4 linked regions of the Saccharomyces cerevisiae S288C genome follow. The protein of the gene in region 1 purifies or fractionates together with the protein of each later gene. This does not show direct contact. Each region holds a gene or a part of one and is shown in the gene's direction. Other genes may lie near its edges.

The links.
Region 2: the proteins of NIP7 (region 1) and NOP2 purify together in Saccharomyces cerevisiae (affinity purification with mass spectrometry; 7 studies listed by BioGRID). This does not show direct contact.
Region 3: the proteins of NIP7 (region 1) and BRX1 purify together in Saccharomyces cerevisiae (affinity purification with mass spectrometry; 3 studies listed by BioGRID, with this or other methods). This does not show direct contact.
Region 4: the proteins of NIP7 (region 1) and NOG1 purify together in Saccharomyces cerevisiae (affinity purification with mass spectrometry; 4 studies listed by BioGRID). This does not show direct contact.

Annotation. Positions count from the first base shown.
Region 1 is NC_001148.4:150,497-154,540, forward strand, and holds NIP7 (ribosome biosynthesis protein NIP7), read left to right. Parts: upstream 1-2,998; coding exon 2,999-3,544; downstream 3,545-4,044. Other genes in the region: U2 snRNP complex subunit LEA1, read left to right, coding at 118-834; pseudouridine synthase PUS1, read right to left, coding at 1,019-2,653; signal recognition particle subunit SRP72, read right to left, coding at 3,794-4,044. UniProt on the Saccharomyces cerevisiae protein: Required for proper 27S pre-rRNA processing and 60S ribosome subunit assembly.
Region 2 is NC_001146.8:508,695-512,896, forward strand, and holds NOP2 (rRNA (cytosine-C5-)-methyltransferase NOP2), read left to right. Parts: upstream 1-1,845; coding exon 1,846-3,702; downstream 3,703-4,202. Other genes in the region: MTQ1 (S-adenosylmethionine-dependent methyltransferase), read left to right, coding at 1-8; tRNA 1-methyladenosine methyltransferase subunit GCD10, read right to left, coding at 82-1,518; actin-related protein ARP5, read right to left, coding at 3,974-4,202. UniProt on the Saccharomyces cerevisiae protein: S-adenosyl-L-methionine-dependent methyltransferase that specifically methylates the C(5) position of cytosine 2870 (m5C2870) in 25S rRNA. Required for 60S ribosomal subunit synthesis and processing.
Region 3 is NC_001147.6:184,568-189,463, reverse strand, and holds BRX1 (ribosome biogenesis protein BRX1), read left to right. Parts: upstream 1-2,740; coding exon 2,741-3,616; downstream 3,617-4,896. Other genes in the region: MDM20 (Mdm20p), read right to left, coding at 50-2,440; ATP19 (F1F0 ATP synthase subunit k), read right to left, coding at 3,820-4,026; AVO1 (Avo1p), read right to left, coding at 4,252-4,896. UniProt on the Saccharomyces cerevisiae protein: Required for biogenesis of the 60S ribosomal subunit.
Region 4 is NC_001148.4:368,483-374,483, forward strand, and holds NOG1 (putative GTPase NOG1), read left to right. Parts: upstream 1-2,495; coding exon 2,496-4,439; downstream 4,440-6,001. Other genes in the region: EEB1 (medium-chain fatty acid ethyl ester synthase/esterase), read right to left, coding at 1-959; Sec63 complex subunit SEC62, read right to left, coding at 1,357-2,181; SSU1 (Ssu1p), read left to right, coding at 5,311-6,001. UniProt on the Saccharomyces cerevisiae protein: Involved in the biogenesis of the 60S ribosomal subunit.

The DNA of each region.
Region 1 (4,044 bases):
TTATCATAGATGACATTTACTTATATTAGGCCAATCGCATACTCTGCATCCAACAAGCCTTCAACAGGTCGAAGTGAAACTACAGGACTTGGAAAATATCAGTTTTTATAAGCAATAATGAAGTTCACCCCTAGCATAGTTATTGATGCTCCGCAATATTATGTTGATCATTTTAATGGCAAGTATAACGTGGATAAATGTGTTATTTTAAGAGACCTGCAGCTAGAAACGGATTCAGAATCCATGCCATCCAGCTTAAAGCATTTGACCAAACCTACGCACATCTTGGATTTGACAAACAATGACCTTATCATGATTCCAGATCTATCAAGAAGAGACGATATACATACATTACTGTTGGGCCGAAACAATATCGTTGAAGTAGACGGTCGCCTATTGCCTATGAATGTACAGAACCTTACATTATCGAATAACAGCATAAGAAGGTTTGAAGATCTTCAAAGGTTGCGTAGAGCGCCCAGGACGTTGAAGAATCTAACTTTAATAGGGAATCAAGTATGTCATTTAGCCAATTATAGAGAACATGTACTTCGATTAGTACCGCATTTAGAGACTTTAGACTTTCAAAACGTAACAGCTGAGGAAAGAAAGAGCGCAATGAGCTTTCCAAGGCAGGCGGACGGCGATACGTTGGGCCCAGTAAATACTGCAATAAGAGATAATGGATCCAGAGATAAAACGATGGAGATCATGAATTTGGTGGTGAGTAAGATGACAGTAGAGAGAAGAAATGAATTGAAAAAGCAGTTAGCAGAAGCTACTTCTTTAGAAGAGATTGCCAGGCTGGAAAAACTACTCTCTGGTGGTGTTTAATCTTTTGGTTAGTGCGACTGTTCAATGACTTAAAAAAAAAGAATTATAAATTATTCTGTGCCATTATATAATAATATATAAAACGAAAACAAATAATGGTGCTCTATAAACATTAGAGGACAATGTCAATTTCAATGTCAATGCCTTAGAAATTAAAGTTGGTAAGAAAGAAGGAAAGGGCAACCTAATTAGCTGCCGCTTCCGGTTGTACTTCAGGTTCGTTGCTCTGAGTGGTGCTGGATATTTCAGCCTTTTTACTAGCAGCTTCCTCCTCTTCCATTCTTTTTCTTTGCTTAATCTTCTTATTGCTCTCGGGCGCATCAGTAAGACCTGGGATACCCTTAGCTGTCAAGAATTCGAAGATACTCTTTTGCACAGCAGGTCCCGATTTATCGGCAGTTTCTTCTCCCTGTGCTCCAGTAACCTTGTTGAAACTATCAATATAACTAAAGAACGCATTAAAAACATTTTCGTCCACCTCTTCCTTGTAGATCTTATCGTAGATATGCTTCATTTTGAACTTATCCACTTCGTCTTGATATTTGGAAAAATCGATCGCCTTGTAACCAAACTGTTCTAGTCTTTTATTATAACCTTCAAATACTGGAGCTTCTAACAATAATCCTAATGCAGGTGCCTTCGGAATATTAATCTTCTGCTGTCCGTAAGCCTGACTAATGCGTTCGACGGGGCAACCACAACGGGTAATTAAGGTTGCCATTGATACCATCTTACGAATTTGATGTAGCATGAAAGACTGGCCGTGAATCTTGATGGAAATCCATTCTGTTTGGGCATCGCCAATAACAAATGGATCAGATACTTTTATATCTTTCATAAATCGAATGGCACTTGGTTCTTTGAAGTCCTTGCCTAATGTAAAATTATGGAAGTTATGAGCGCCAAGGTATTGACTTGTAGAAGCACGGAATTTGGCCAGTTTTGCCGCGGATATACGATATCTTCTACGGTGAGCATTTTCTAATTGCTTGTACTTTTTTACCTTCTGGTATAGTTCTTCATTTATATCAAATTCATCTCTTGCGGGCGGAACATATGCTAATATAGCTTCGATTTCTTCTGTTGAAAATTTTTCATTCGCATCTTTTTTAAACTCTTCCCAAAATTCTTTGGATTCCAAATCTTCATCTAATACACCAGGTAATTCTGTTTTACTTTCTTCGATGTCTCTATAAAGTATAGAACCAGGTTTGGGGCCAATGAGTGAATAAGTTGGTAATAAGTATTCGTACCAACGTGAACTGCACATTTTTCTACAATCAAACGCCTTGTTCACACGCTCGATATCCCATACCCTTATCCCTTCCGGTAACTTTTCGTTGATCTTCTGCTTGATATCAGGATCTTCAATAATCATTTTCAATGATATTAAATTACCTCCAGCATGGACACCCTTATCAGTTCTTGCAGCTCTCATGAATCCATTCTTTTTCAAATCGTTGGAGTTGTCCTTGGAAATAGCACCTGCTTCAACAAATGCTTTGAATAGGGCAGACTCGATGGTTGGATTTGGTGGATTATATTGCATACCATGGTAGCCAGTACCACAGTAACCAACCATAACAGCCACCTTTCTCTTTGGGAGACGAGGCTCCTTGGGAAGTGGATTGCCATTTTCATCCAAACGAGGACCGCTTTTTGGTCTTTTATCTATGTGTTTGTCATTATCCTTTTTTTTGTCCTTTTCATCGTCGAAGTCTGCCTTACGAGCTTTGGTCAATTTGCTCTGAGCGCCTCTCTTGTAGACATCCTCATTAACTTGATCGTCATAGGCAGGCCTCAAATTCTCTTCAGACATCCTTGATATCACTTATAATTGTTATTTACTAGCACTTTATTGTCCTTTATTATTTTTTTAGTACTTCTTGTATTTCAAATTTCTCGAACTATAGCGATGACTAAAAGTGAAAAATTTCAAAGCCAAAAGAAAAAAAAAAAAAGAAAATATTATTTCAGCGGCTAATAGTTACCCGCATCAAAATAATATATCTCTGTACGGTAATGAAAATTTTTGAAATATGCGATGAGCTTAGAACTAAAGTAAGCAATGTATTATTGAGGTAATTGACGGTTTAGTGATTGGATCGTATTCTAGATTTCCGAGTAGTAGAACCATTGAGGGAAACTATAGTTAGGTGCAATAATGAGACAGCTAACAGAAGAAGAGACCAAGGTTGTTTTCGAAAAACTCGCCGGCTATATTGGTAGAAATATTTCTTTTTTAGTGGATAATAAAGAACTTCCTCATGTCTTCAGATTACAAAAGGATAGAGTATATTACGTACCCGATCATGTTGCAAAATTGGCTACTAGTGTAGCAAGACCTAACTTGATGTCTCTGGGTATTTGTTTAGGTAAATTCACGAAAACTGGAAAATTCAGGTTACATATTACTTCTTTGACAGTATTGGCTAAGCATGCCAAATATAAGATATGGATTAAACCTAATGGGGAGATGCCATTCTTATACGGTAATCATGTGTTAAAGGCACATGTGGGTAAAATGTCTGATGATATACCAGAACACGCCGGTGTTATTGTGTTTGCAATGAATGATGTGCCATTAGGGTTCGGTGTCAGTGCGAAAAGTACTTCTGAGTCAAGAAACATGCAACCCACTGGTATAGTTGCTTTCAGACAAGCAGATATTGGTGAGTATTTGAGAGATGAAGACACCTTGTTTACTTAGTGGGAAGGACTGATGATGAATTCCCGTGTACATTTCACTTACAGCTTGCGTTATCTCTCACAATGTATTTTTTTCTGTATAATAAAGAATCATATAATTAGCGCTTAAAAGGAAAGAGTTGTTCGATAAAATGGGGAGCCTAACCCCTCGATGACCTTTCTTTTGAATTAGTCGAGTTCCATTTCATATACAATATTACATAACTTGACAACATTTGAGGATTACTAATGACAAAAATCTTTATACGCTCTATTTACGGCCCTTCTTCTTGTTCTTAGGCTTTTTATTAACAGTGGGCTTCCCTTTCTTTGATATGTCAAGGGCCTGTTCTGATTTTTTGTTCATAGCACCACCTTGAGTTTGTTTTGCACCTTGTTGTTTTTTCTTTGGCCTATAAGTAGACCTGTCTCTTAATGGCAGCCACCTTTCAGGATCAGGTAATTTGGAGGTGTCGCGACCTTGTAAAAATTTTTCGAGGCGTTTAATCTTTCTTTTCTTCT
Region 2 (4,202 bases), on another chromosome or scaffold:
GCAACTAAGTATATAAATGTAAATATATATATTCTCAGGTTTTTTTGTTGGAAGTTATCAAACGGAACACTCTGTGGACATTTATATTTTTTGTTTCTTAGCTCCATGTTCAGCAAGCTTTTCACTGGAGTCAGCTGCAGTCGCGTTTTCCGATACAGGTTCAGGAGCAGGGATGACTCTGTGACACCACATTAGATATCCACCACCACCTTTCATGGTCATCAGAGGGTGTAGCTTACCCCTTATACTTTGGTACGGCCTACATCTAGTTTCCAAAATTGATGGTGCTAAAAACCTGAGGTCTGAATATAAAGTATGAGCTAATTCCAACAAAGTTTCTTTGAATTGACCATAGCATACAATCGGCCTTGAACCATGGATTTTTTCGGCCAACTTTGGCACTAGTGTTGGTAAATGTAGTGTAGTAGCCATTACAAGACCGTCATATAGGAATTCTCCTGTTAGTTCTAAAATTTGCCATTGTGTATTGTACCATCTGAGTTTTCGGTAGTACGAGTTTTTCTTACCACCTTTTAATGCACGGGCTTCTTCTTTAGGTAATGGTGTAAATCTGCTCTGAATCTCTTGTAGTGTAGGCGGTTCAAAAAAATCTAATAGAGAAATGGTGTGTACATGCTCTTTAATAAATTTCTCAGAATAATTAGCAAACTTCAGCAAATCCAAGTTGGCATGTTCATTTTCGTGAATAACTATGACTTTGCCCTTGGATTTGCTTTCATTGTCACCGCCAAACATTCTTTCCAACAGAAAGTAAACCAATAACCCACCCGTTTCATCCATACAGAGATAGTTGCCTTCTGATTGGATGTTCGCAAGATTTAACAGCATCCCCATCGATTCCTGAGACATATCCAATACCCTTTGGATATCGCCTTTGTCGATTAAGAATTGTAAAAGGTTAGAGCTACTTAAATACTCAACGGTGAAGTACTTGGCGAATTTTTGTTTCTTCCTATTCACATATTTCTCTTGAGAATATACGGTCTTGTTGTGAAAACTTTTGTGAGATTTGATAATTTTGTCGATTATTTCTTTACTAGATAAAGATTCTTGTTTCATTTTTTCAATTTCTTCAACGGTTAACTCTTGGGCCTTGCTGCCCATGTTAACCAGATTCTGATTCGTAGCACTGCTGTCAATGCTAGACAATTCAAGAGACACAGATTTTTCCTTAATAGATAAAGGAGGCTCGCTTTGACCATCGTCTTTATCATTATTGACATCTTTGATCTCCTGCGATAATAGCCTTACTTTCCCGATGGGAATTTTGTTCTTTGGTTTCGAATCTCTATTTTCATCGGATGAAACCTCTTCGCCATCATAATATATCTCGAAAGTCAACCCGAAAGGATAACCAATTATGTCATTAACCTCGAAAGCACCGAATTTTCCTAATGATACAGAGGTGTTGGGCTTTAGTTCCACTATCTTGTAATTTTTTGATGGCAGCCGGACGATAACGTGCTGATTAAAATCTATGGTTGTCAAAGCATTCATTGTGCACTAAATTCAAAGTTTTTTTGTCCAATTCGTTTGCAACAATGTGAGTAGGATCCAACGTGCCAAAGAATTTAAAGTTGAATATTATTATTGTTATTATACACCTCATCGACTTTTTTTTTTTTTTTGATGAAATTTTTCAGATTTTACAAAACCGTTACCCAGTTTCACGTTTTCTGAAAAAAATTTTCATCTCATCGCAGAATAAGTTTAAGATGAGCTGAGCTGCAAATACAGTTGTCGCTAAGGTATATAGATTTGTAATTCTGGCGGAATTCCCCTTGTGTTGGCTAATATTAGAATTACATATACATATAATAGGAAATGGGTAGTAGACGTCATAAGAACAAGCAAGCCGCCCCACCAACCCTGGAGGAGTTTCAGGCAAGAAAGGAAAAGAAGGCTAATAGAAAGCTAGAAAAAGGAAAGAGACCTTCTACCACGCAAGGGGATGAAGTTTCTGATAGAAAGAAAAAGAAGTCGAAGCCATTCAAGAAATCTAGAAAAGAGGAGGAAGAAGTTGTTGAAGAGGATAAGGATTTGCCAGAAGTTGATCTTGAAGAATTATCAAAAGCCAGGAAATCTTTATTTGATGATGAAGAAGATGACGATGAAGCAGGATTGGTGGATGAAGAACTAAAAGATGAATTTGACTTGGAACAAGAATATGATTACGATGAAGATGAAGATAATGACGCCCACCCAATTTTTTCAGATGACGACGATGAGGCTGATCTTGAAGAACTAAATGCACAAAACATGGAAGCTCTTTCTAAGAAACTTGATGAAGAAGAAGCTGAAGAAGCTGAAGAAGCCGAAATGGAGTTAGTGGAAGCGGAGAACATGCAACCAAGAGCAGACATATTGCCCACTGAGGAGCAGGAAGAAATGATGGCACAAGAAACTCCTAATTTAACTTCCACAAGAACAAGAATGATTGAAATTGTAAAGGTTTTGGAAAATTTTAAGACTCTTGGTGCAGAAGGCAGATCGAGAGGAGAATACGTTGACAGACTTTTGAAAGATATTTGTGAGTACTTTGGTTATACACCATTTTTGGCGGAAAAGTTATTCAATCTATTCTCACCAGCAGAGGCGATGGAGTTTTTCGAAGCCAATGAAATTGCAAGACCAATAACCATCAGAACCAACACCTTGAAGACCAGAAGGAGAGACTTAGCTCAAACTCTTGTGAATAGAGGTGTTAATCTACAACCTATTGGTTCTTGGACTAAAGTTGGTCTTCAAATATTCGATTCCCAAGTCCCAATTGGTGCTACGCCAGAATATTTGGCAGGTCACTATATTTTACAAGCGGCATCATCTTTTCTACCAGTTATTGCTCTAGATCCTCATGAAAATGAGCGTATCTTGGATATGGCAGCTGCTCCAGGTGGTAAGACCACTTATATATCAGCTATGATGAAAAACACAGGTTGTGTTTTCGCTAACGACGCCAATAAATCTAGAACAAAATCTTTAATTGCTAATATCCACCGTCTAGGCTGTACCAACACTATTGTATGCAATTACGATGCCCGTGAGTTCCCTAAGGTAATTGGAGGTTTTGACAGAATTTTACTGGATGCCCCATGTTCCGGTACTGGTGTTATCGGTAAGGATCAATCTGTCAAGGTGTCTCGTACCGAGAAGGACTTCATTCAAATTCCACATCTACAAAAACAATTGCTTCTATCCGCCATTGATTCTGTTGATTGCAACTCGAAACATGGTGGTGTAATAGTATATTCGACATGTTCTGTTGCAGTGGAAGAGGACGAAGCTGTCATAGACTATGCATTGAGAAAAAGACCGAATGTCAAGTTAGTCGATACTGGTTTAGCGATCGGTAAAGAAGCGTTTACTAGTTACAGAGGCAAAAAGTTTCATCCTAGTGTGAAATTAGCGAGGAGGTACTATCCACATACGTACAACGTCGATGGGTTCTTTGTCGCTAAATTCCAAAAGATCGGTCCATCTTCGTTTGATGATAACCAAGCAAGTGCAAAAGAAAAGGAAACTGCTGCTAGAAAGGAAGCTTTGGAAGAAGGTATCATTCACTCTGACTTCGCAACCTTCGAGGACGAAGAAGACGATAAGTACATTGAAAAGTCTGTGAAAAACAATCTTTTGAAAAAGGGTGTCAATCCAAAAGCTAAAAGACCTTCTAACGAAAAATAAGTTCCCACAAACGTAGTGGCATCATGTTAGCATAGTTTTCTCTCTCTAATCTTTCTCTGTCTACATATATATATATATATATATATATCAATTTCAAATATGTCTCACTGTATATTAAATTCAAAATAGAAATAATAAAGCCGATTTGTAAACAGCACTAAGAAAAAAGGCGATGATATTACTTATTAATATTCGTTGCCAATATAGTATTACATATATCTCTATTTATTTCTCTTTTTTTGTTTTTAAGGCGTTTCAGTTTGCTGTCTCCTTAGTCTTCAAAATACTTCGTATTCCCTAACTTATGCTCTTTGATGTACTCTGGACCGTACTCTTCGTATTCTTTCTTACTGATAACTGTTTTCCTATACTGTTCTTCGTTTCGTGCTAGAGCTGCCATACCCTTCCAGGCATCCAATGAAGGATCTGAAGACATATTTACAGTGATATTGGTACCGGTAGGAAGGAATCCAGTGAATTCCTTCACAATACGTTCTTTC
Region 3 (4,896 bases), on another chromosome or scaffold:
AGAAAATTGTCTATCTGCGACTGCTCTATAATGGAGATGTAATTTTTGTTCATAAATTTCTTACACTTTTTTGGATGCCTAGTAATGAATTTTTAATGTTCTTGACATTTTCAGCTTTAACATCAAGTTCTTTTAACAAGTTGCCACATTCATCTTTTTTTAATTCTTCATATGCTTGTACTAAAGCTTTAGAATAACCTTTAAATACATCATCGCAACAACTCCTCAACTCCTTGAGGGAGTTTTTGATTAGTTTTTGAATTTCTTTATCTTTGATTCTCTTCAAACTGTCTAGTGTTTTTAAGGTTGCCATTTTAGTAAGGTAAGTATGGGATACCATCCAGTTTTGTTTTGCATTTATTGGGACTTTCATCAACCTAGAAATTAAATCATGTAGATTTTTACCGTTATTTTCGTAAATTTCGAAAAAAATCAGAAATGACGCTGACTCCACTTCAGTTAAATTATTATTCAACAACTCTTCAAGGTTAATTGATGGAAGTTTTTTTAAGAGCGCACTTATTTGTTCCGTTTTCTCCCCATTTGGCAAAGCTTCAATAATAAGTTCTCTTATCAAAGTTAGAAAAATTGATTCTTCATTCAAGTTAGCATATTCCAAAATTTTACCACGGTTAAGAAATTGGGCAAAATTTTCATCTAATATGGAAAAGTCTCTATTGTCAGAAAATGATACACTTTGCGTCATTTCTAAAGATCTCCAATCTTCGTGTAATTTTTGTAGTAGGTGGCCGCGCTTGTCGTTGCATAAACGTGAGAACTGTAAGTTTTCTAAAGTTTTGGTCCATCTTGTATAGGATTTCATTAGTTTATCCCTCATCTCGAGCATTCCTAGTATTTTGCTATATGAATTTCTTTCGAATGCCACCTGAATATATCTTGGTAAATTAGCCAGTGATGTATCGTATAAATTATTATGTTCATGGAATGTCTTGGAGTAAAAATCGCTCTGTTTATTCGGGAACAAAGTAGAAAATCTCGAGAATATCATGTAATCTAGGGAATCTGTTTGAACGTTTTTAATCTTTAGGTTTATGAAATGGAAATAAGCATCGGGAACTAAACCCAGGTACATGTATAAAACAATCAGCCAGCACATAGTATCGAAGTTATGAGGGTCCTTGGCTTGGTAATTTTCCAATATCGTTATACACAAAAGCACGTCTTTCAATTCAGGATTAGTTTTCTTGCACTTGTCCTTGACTATTTCTAATAAGAATGTAGAACAGGAGGAATAATCCGTTACCGATTTTTTTTCCAGGGTCCCCTTAAACTTGTTATAGTTATTGATTGAGTCGCTTCCAATAAGTCCCAATTCTAGAATATTACAATGATGAATCAAATCCTTATCCTCTGGATCGTACTTAGACATAATGCTCTTAAGCATATCTATGTTAATGTGGCCGCTGTAATGATTCAAATCGATTGAACAACAAGGTTTGTTATGGTACTTTGATAAATAGTACGACAAAGATGATTCCGAAACCGAATCGGTGTACATTATATCAAGTTTCAAGCGCGCCAATCGAGTATTCCTTGAGTCTCCCAAATTTTCATCAATCCATTGTTTGACTTCGTCTTTAGATTTAGAAAGTTTGTAGGCAGCATCAATCAAGTTTGTGATCAATTCATAATCATCAAGGCCCTTTTCAATAAGTTTTGAACAAACTTCAAAAAGTTTTTGTGGAGAATTCAATAACTTGGTATGCTTCAAGATAAAGTTTTTCAAATACAAGTTTACTGAAGTATCAAAATTGGCAAAGGTAATCGCAACAATCTCTTCCGAGATTTCTCTAGATTGAGGGAATAGTTCATCCAACACCAAACAATAAACTATAATCTCTTGAACATTTTGAAATGGTTTCAAGTCTAACAAAGACTGGCGCGCTAGCCTGGAGAGCAAAATTTTCTTGGGATCTGAAAGAGTGTTTTCCTGAAACCTTGATACGGCTAAAATCGAGATTGCATTCCAAAAATAATATGCTCTTTTAGGCAGGTTTCCACTGTCACTGTATTTAGCTAGCTGTAGAGATGCTTTGCTCATTTGGTTATAATTGGAATCTTCCAATGCTTTCATAAACCAGTGATAAGACAATTCGTAGCTAGGGAATTTGAAATTTCCTCTTTCATACACGTGCAATGCTTCGTCGTATTTCCCTAACTCTACGAAGAAGTTGTGCAAAAACTCCAAGGAACGCGTGTCGCCCGTAATCGTTGTCCCTTTCAGCCCATATGGTTCTTCTAGCAGTTTATTGTAATCGAACTTACCAGGTGACTGCTTGAATTTAACATAGGTTTCCAAAATCTTGAAGTACAACGCATTGGGAAATTGTTTTTGCAATTGCCCCAGTTTTGCATAGCATTGTTTGAAGTTGGACCTGCTTACTAGTCCTAATATCTCCTCCTGTATCTTGTCGGACATGCTTCGATGCGATGATTGCTGTACCGAGCTCGTTATGTATCGTTGCTTCGCCAATGAATTCTGTTGCAGCTGACATTTATTATTTATTTTCCTAAAGCCCTCGGCGGTCCGTGGACAGTGATTTTCGTTAAAGGTGACTGAAAAATTTTAGATGCTCATCGCGATGGTTCTCAAAGAATCTATCACCTAAAAAGATACAGAAATTGCTATAATATTTACGAGTTAGAAGGTTACTTAGCCTTATTTTGCTTCACGTCTTTCTTTATACATTCGTCAGGTGTTGAAAGAGTTCAACCAAAGATGTCTTCTATCTACAAAGCCCTCGCAGGAAAGAGCAAAGATAATAAATCTGAAAAGAAGCAAGGCAATGTCAAGCAATTTATGAACAAGCAAAGAACTCTTCTGATTTCGAGTAGAGGTGTTAACTATAGACATCGTCATTTAATTCAAGACTTAAGCGGATTATTGCCTCATTCCAGAAAGGAGCCAAAATTGGATACTAAAAAGGATCTTCAACAGTTGAACGAAATCGCTGAGTTGTACAATTGTAATAATGTTCTATTCTTTGAGGCCAGAAAACACCAAGATTTGTATCTATGGTTATCCAAGCCGCCAAATGGGCCAACTATAAAATTTTACATTCAAAACTTGCATACTATGGATGAGTTGAATTTTACAGGTAACTGTTTAAAGGGTTCTCGTCCGGTATTGTCGTTTGATCAACGTTTCGAATCCTCCCCACACTACCAATTAATTAAGGAGTTGCTAGTGCATAATTTTGGTGTACCACCAAATGCTAGAAAATCTAAGCCATTTATTGATCACGTCATGTCCTTCAGTATTGTAGATGATAAAATATGGGTGAGGACATATGAGATCTCACACAGTACTAAGAACAAAGAAGAATATGAAGATGGCGAAGAAGACATATCATTAGTGGAAATTGGCCCTAGGTTTGTTATGACTGTCATTTTGATCCTAGAAGGTTCATTTGGTGGTCCAAAGATCTATGAAAATAAACAATATGTTTCGCCAAACGTCGTAAGAGCTCAAATTAAACAACAAGCTGCTGAGGAGGCAAAGTCTAGAGCTGAAGCTGCTGTGGAAAGAAAAATTAAGAGAAGAGAGAATGTTCTTGCCGCCGATCCTTTATCAAACGATGCCTTGTTTAAATAATAAGCATAATACTATCAGAGAGTTTTACATAACATTGTATATTAAAAAGATATAACAAGAAAAGAGTGGATGTAGCAACTGTCTAGTTATAGACCTCTTTTTAATAATTTAATGTTTAAATCTTGAATATCGAAAGCTGTATATATAAAGAATATTTATTGTATGTACAAAAGATCTTCAACCGCGCAGCAATCAAGCTATATTTACGCATCTTGCTTTTCCGAATGTTTCTTTAAGTAGTTTTCAATGAATTTTTCCTCGTCTTTGTTGTCTGTTTTGATGTCGACTGTTTTTGGCTTTGCGCTTTTAAAAGGATTTGGAACAACCAATAAACCTAGCAGTCCTAATGTCCCAATGGCTAGTTGGTGTGGAGGGATAGCTTTCCCCATGAAATGATAAGCAGCACCCATTGTCGTAGTTATAAATTATTATTTGAAGTCACCTGGCCTTATTCAATGCTAACGAGTTATGTGCTCTATGGGGGGACTTGCTCCTAAAAAGCTCTTTTTTTTCCCTTTGCATCGAGAAGCGGACTCTGACCAATCACCATCGAGATCGCGATGAAGTATTTTCTATACCATATTTAGATATAAACCAAAATTAATGCTGGTAAGATGCAGTATAATGGGTTTTACTTATTTATGATTCATTCTATAAGCGCTTAATAAGTTTTGTAATCGCGTCACGATCTCAGTACACTCTTGACCTGAAACTGCTTCAAAGTAGTACCTTTTGATATCATCTTGCCCCTCTCTTCTTACGAAAATTTTGAAATGCTCAGGGACTCTTTTGGATTTTTTGACAAGAACCACTTGACTAATGTGTAACGACTTAGTCTTTACATTATCATGCCAATGTATACGTCCCTCCGGGGGTACAATGTATATGTAGTCGCCATCAATGGCTAGTGTTCTTTCATGCTTGTTTATAAATGACATTTGCTGCCTTCTCCATACCTTATATTTATGATACGCTCCGGTAAAAAGATCTTGGAAGTTATCTCCAACTCCATTTGGAGTGTCAGGCGTGTGCTCCATCGTACTCTGAGAACGGTTTATATTATGAAACTGCAGTGTCCCATGCAAAGAGGATTTGGATGAATTCTTGTTCTTGAAAAACCCATTTCCATTGGCGAGACCGCCAGCCGTTGAAACACTTCCACTAGCAACACTTGATGACGAATGCTGCTTTGCCAAGCCCAGCTTATACTTCGTGGATATCTTCTTAGCTTTGGATGTAACTTTCGTGTTTTCAGGAATGGCAGCCACAGCCCCTCCAGC
Region 4 (6,001 bases), 220 kb from region 1:
ACCTGCAACTCATTCATATTAACCTTGACAGTCCTTGTTAGAAATTGTGTTAAAGTTCTAGAAAAAATATGGTTGGACCACCAATCATGAGCCAACTTGTCCCAAGTGTGTACGAAATCCCATGGGTTTGAGAGAGCGACTGCAGCATTTAATGGACAGTTATCTCCTTCTTCACCTAAGTAGTTCGTTAGCATGGCTGCTCCAAATGATGTTCCGACTGCATATATTTTTCTTTGCGGAAATAGAGCTTTTTGGTGGTTCAAAAATTCTCTCACATCACCTGTGTGTAATGCGGTAAAGATTCTACGGGTGGTGACTTTAGATCTTGAGCAACCTCTAGCATTAAGGACTACCACTTGGAATTTACCGTCACCGACTTTTGATAGATCTTCAGATAATGCCCTGATGAGAGGCTCATGGCTTCCCCCTGCAAGACCATGAAGTACTACCACTAAAGGGTAAGAATAACCCTTAGAATGACATTTTTCAAGTTCCTCAGAGGATAGATATCTAGTTCTCGGGTGAAGACGAGGCCAACCCTTTGGATGGGTGGCCTTTTCATCGTTCGAAAATTGTTTCTCGTTAAAACTAGCCTTTTCAGCATTTAATGAATATGTTTGCTCCCATTCAGGCATAACCCAATCTGCAGTGCAGACCCCTCCATCAGAAAATTTTATAATCTCTCTTCCATAAAATACCTGAAATTTTTTGGAAAAATCACCGGCTGACAAATAAAGGGTCTGTAAGTAACCTGTGAAAAGCAAGCTGTTTAACCTAAAATTTGCACCATCTTTGAGTGTAGGCACGTGTTTGGTTACGAATTCATGAAGAGGAATTTGGCGCTTAGAATCTCTGAAAGCCAAAGACTTGGTTCCTTTCTCTCCCAGTACATGTTTGACGGTGCCGTTATAGCCCCAATGGCTAGGAGTGACAGTTGGATAGTAACCCGAGCGAAACATTAAAATGACAAATATGAAAATACTTGATATCTTGATCTTTTTGCTAATCTTCAAAAATACCGAAAACTAAGTAGGCAACCAGATGCAGAACCCTTCTTATATAATCGATTCCTGTAAGCAAGTGTCAGCAAATAGCTTCTATATAGAGACCTTTCGGTGAAAGTATATTAAAGCCGGCCGGAAATTGAGTAATAATAACCGCTAATTATGCGGTGTGTGGATTCAGATTTTTGCCAGGAGCGATAACCTTCAAATCTAAAACTACTCACTATAAGCGATGAAGCAACCAGATGGTAGCGCTTTGGTGCCGGTTCTCTTGAAGGTTTGTACATGTGCGAGTTCATGAGGTTACAATATAGAAGGTTTATACAGTAGAGCTATACAGGATAATGGAAGTTCAGTTTTGTTCGGCTTTTTCATTGATGGCTTTCTTCTTATTGCTTTCTCTCTTGGCTTGTTTCTTCTTCATTCTTTTCAGTTTCTTTTTGTAACTATAAGTATCCTTCTCACCAAAACCGTAAAGTGGCTTAAAACTCTCTAGTACACCGCAATCTTCGAACAGGTTGGGAAAGATCCAGAACCCACCAACATCTTTGTAGACAATTAATGACAAAACATATAATATCAATCTCAGGATAGCGACAGCAAAGAAGCCTGCTAAGATGCCGAAGGCACCCAGAGACACATAATAGGAGCCGCGTCTCATGGAGCGCGGCCACAATGGGTAGCATACGAGCGCCAATATGATGGACACGACACCAATGACGATCAAGTAATCCATGTAGGTTCTAGGGTTATAGTTCCAAACAAAGTATTCATCGGCTTCCAATTGTGCTTTATTCGAAACAATCAAGTGCGGAAAGTCCTTGCTTGGCTTCAATCCATGCTCTTTGCATTCTTGACTATGCAATTTTTTCACTGGGATCACCATTTGTGCCTTTATAAGTTGAATAAAGATTTCACGTGACTTAAGCTGGTCTTCGATCTTGTTAGAAGGTATAGTTGGATATATCTCTGGCTGTCTTGCAGATTTGTTGGCATACTCCTCAGAATGCAGTGCCCTAACAAATCTCTTGTAACGGAAGAAGTCTGTCTGCTTGGCCTGGAATAAACCCTGCCTTTGCTTCAACTCCTTATGGTTGCGTAAAAGAGTAGCAATGGCTGTAGCAGATCCGCCATTGACACTAGCACCTGCATTGCTACCTGGACCTACGGCTGACATGTTCTCCTGTGTTTGCTCGGCTACCATACTGCATTCAACTGCAATTATAAAAGCCCACTCTTCTCCCTCTTGATTTGTATGCCAGTATTGGGAAAACGACACGTCTATTCCGTCGCACACGATCTTCACTTTCTTTTTTTTTTTCAACTGAACGAAAAGTTTTTTCCGCAGCTCATCGCAAAGAAAAATTTTCACCTATGTACTACCTCATCTAATACAATATAAAGAATACACTTCAGATTTAGGAGTTGCAGCGTTTATAAAAAAGTAAGTGTACCCTCCAAAAGCAAACACATCTCCCTCCTATACCGAAGATGCAACTTTCATGGAAGGATATCCCTACTGTCGCTCCAGCAAATGATTTGCTGGATATTGTCTTGAACAGAACCCAGAGAAAGACACCAACTGTGATCAGACCTGGTTTCAAGATTACAAGAATCAGAGCGTTCTATATGCGTAAAGTTAAATACACAGGTGAAGGTTTCGTGGAAAAATTTGAGGACATTTTAAAGGGTTTTCCTAACATCAATGACGTGCATCCTTTCCATAGAGATTTGATGGACACCCTATACGAAAAGAATCATTACAAGATATCTTTGGCAGCTATATCTCGTGCGAAGTCCCTTGTGGAACAAGTCGCCAGAGATTATGTCAGATTGCTAAAATTCGGTCAATCTTTATTTCAATGTAAACAATTGAAAAGGGCCGCTTTAGGTAGAATGGCAACTATAGTCAAGAAATTGAGGGACCCATTGGCCTATTTGGAACAAGTCAGACAGCACATTGGTAGATTACCATCGATCGACCCAAATACCAGAACCTTGCTGATCTGTGGTTATCCAAATGTCGGTAAGTCCTCGTTTTTGAGATGCATTACCAAATCAGACGTCGATGTTCAACCATATGCTTTCACAACCAAGAGTTTATACGTTGGTCATTTTGACTACAAATACTTGAGATTTCAAGCTATTGACACCCCTGGTATCCTAGATAGACCCACTGAAGAAATGAACAACATTGAAATGCAATCGATTTATGCCATTGCCCATTTACGTTCTTGTGTTTTGTACTTCATGGATCTTTCCGAACAATGTGGTTTCACCATCGAAGCTCAAGTTAAACTATTCCACTCCATCAAGCCTCTATTCGCCAACAAGTCTGTCATGGTTGTTATCAACAAAACCGACATTATCAGACCGGAGGATTTAGACGAAGAGCGTGCACAATTACTGGAATCTGTTAAGGAGGTTCCAGGTGTTGAAATCATGACTTCTTCATGCCAACTGGAAGAAAACGTTATGGAAGTTAGAAACAAAGCATGTGAAAAACTATTGGCTTCTAGAATTGAGAATAAGTTGAAATCTCAGTCTAGAATCAACAATGTTCTGAACAAGATTCATGTTGCTCAACCTCAAGCAAGAGATGATGTCAAGAGAACACCATTTATCCCAGAATCTGTCAAGAATTTGAAGAAATACGACCCTGAAGATCCAAACAGGAGAAAGTTGGCCAGAGACATCGAAGCTGAAAATGGTGGTGCTGGTGTCTTCAATGTTAACTTGAAGGACAAGTACCTATTAGAAGATGATGAGTGGAAGAATGACATCATGCCAGAAATCTTGGATGGTAAGAATGTTTATGATTTCTTGGACCCTGAAATCGCTGCTAAACTGCAGGCTCTTGAAGAAGAAGAAGAAAAATTGGAGAACGAAGGGTTCTACAATTCTGACGATGAGGAAGAAATCTACGACGGTTTCGAAGCATCCGAAGTAGATGATATCAAGGAGAAAGCTGCATGGATTAGAAATAGACAAAAGACGATGATTGCTGAAGCAAGAAATAGGAAGTCCTTGAAGAACAAAGCTATCATGCCACGTTCTAAACTAACTAAGTCCTTTGGTAAAATGGAAGAACACATGTCCACTTTGGGCCATGACATGTCAGCCTTACAAGATAAACAGAACCGTGCTGCTCGTAAGAACCGTTATGTTGAAAGAGGTTCTGATGTTGTTTTTGGCGACCAAGATGCTTTGACAGCTTCCACTGAAAACGGTGTCAAGTTGAGACAAACCGATAGACTGTTGGATGGTGTTGCTGATGGCTCCATGAGATCCAAGGCCGACAGGATGGCCAAGATGGAAAGAAGAGAAAGAAATAGACATGCCAAGCAAGGTGAATCTGATAGACACAATGCTGTTTCCTTATCAAAGCATTTATTCAGTGGTAAGCGTGGTGTCGGTAAGACAGATTTCCGTTGATTTCTCTACTTCTTATTCTTTCTTTTGCATGTACTTTAAAAAAAATATGAATATAAAATGTGGATGTACGTACACGACATTCTAATCTTTTTGGGCTGGTAGGATTACCATTTACATTTGATTATCTCTCTCACTATTAGTGGTTTCTTTTTCTTTCTTTCTCACTTTTTCTGTATCTTTTTTTTAAAAAAATTTTATTTAATCTGTATAATAATAATAAACCGATTTAAATTATCCAACAAGCCGACCCCTCCATGTTCTACTATTTTTTTGTATGTCACTGGATGTATACAAATAATTAAGCATGTGGAAAAAGAAGGGGTGGGATAGCGTCAAGATGACACTTCTACTTTTTTGTGACACATCATCATGCAACCTATCGAGTCTCCCACGAGGTTGACAAATAAGAAATTGTTATCGTTTTTGCAGTGTATCGTATAAGGCAACAATAGCGATGTCTCCCATCAATTGACTGATAAATTCCTGCAAACTATCATTTTTTTTTTTTCATCCTTGTGCCGCGTCTGTAGCCGAAAATCTGAGAGTGCATGAATCTTAAAAAACAGAAGACTCATCGCCGTCTTTGGCACATTGGGGTTGTCTTTGACTTCTTTTGCTTATTTTTGCTCACTTTGCTTATTTTACCTATTTAACTAGAGGTTCTAAAAGAATAGCCAACCAGCGTGTAGTTCTTATTTCTAATCCTTGTCTTGTTAAGTTGAAACTTGTGATATTGGCTGAACAAATTCTCCGCATTTAGACAACACACAAATTACAGCTTTCCCCTAGTAACGATTGTTGATTGAGCTCAGACAATACGCGCAATTTAAAAACGTTTTATAGTGTAAGAGAAGACAAGTACAAGAAAAAAATGGTTGCCAATTGGGTACTTGCTCTTACGAGGCAGTTTGACCCCTTCATGTTTATGATGGTCATGGGTGTCGGCATTTCATCGAATATTCTATATAGCTTCCCATATCCTGCAAGGTGGCTAAGAATATGCTCCTACATCATGTTTGCTATCGCTTGCCTTATTTTCATTGCTGTGCAGGCACTACAAATATTACATTTGATTGTCTATATTAAGGAGAAAAGCTTCAGAGAATATTTTAATGACTTTTTCAGAAATATGAAGCACAATTTATTTTGGGGTACTTATCCCATGGGGTTAGTTACAATTATAAATTTCTTAGGAGCACTCTCGAAAGCGAACACGACGAAGAGCCCCACTAATGCCAGAAATTTGATGATATTTGTTTACGTCTTGTGGTGGTATGATCTCGCAGTCTGTCTAGTAATAGCGTGGGGTATCTCGTTTCTCATCTGGCATGACTATTACCCTTTGGAAGGGATTGGGAATTATCCTTCATATAATATCAAAATGGCATCCGAAAACATGAAAAGTGTATTGCTACTGGATATCATTCCGCTGGTTGTCGTCGCTTCAAGTTGTGGAACATTCACAATGTCAGAAATATTCTTCCATGCGTTTAATAGAAACATTCAACTGATAACGTTGGTCATATGTGCCTTAACGTGGCTGCATGCCATTATCTTCGTCT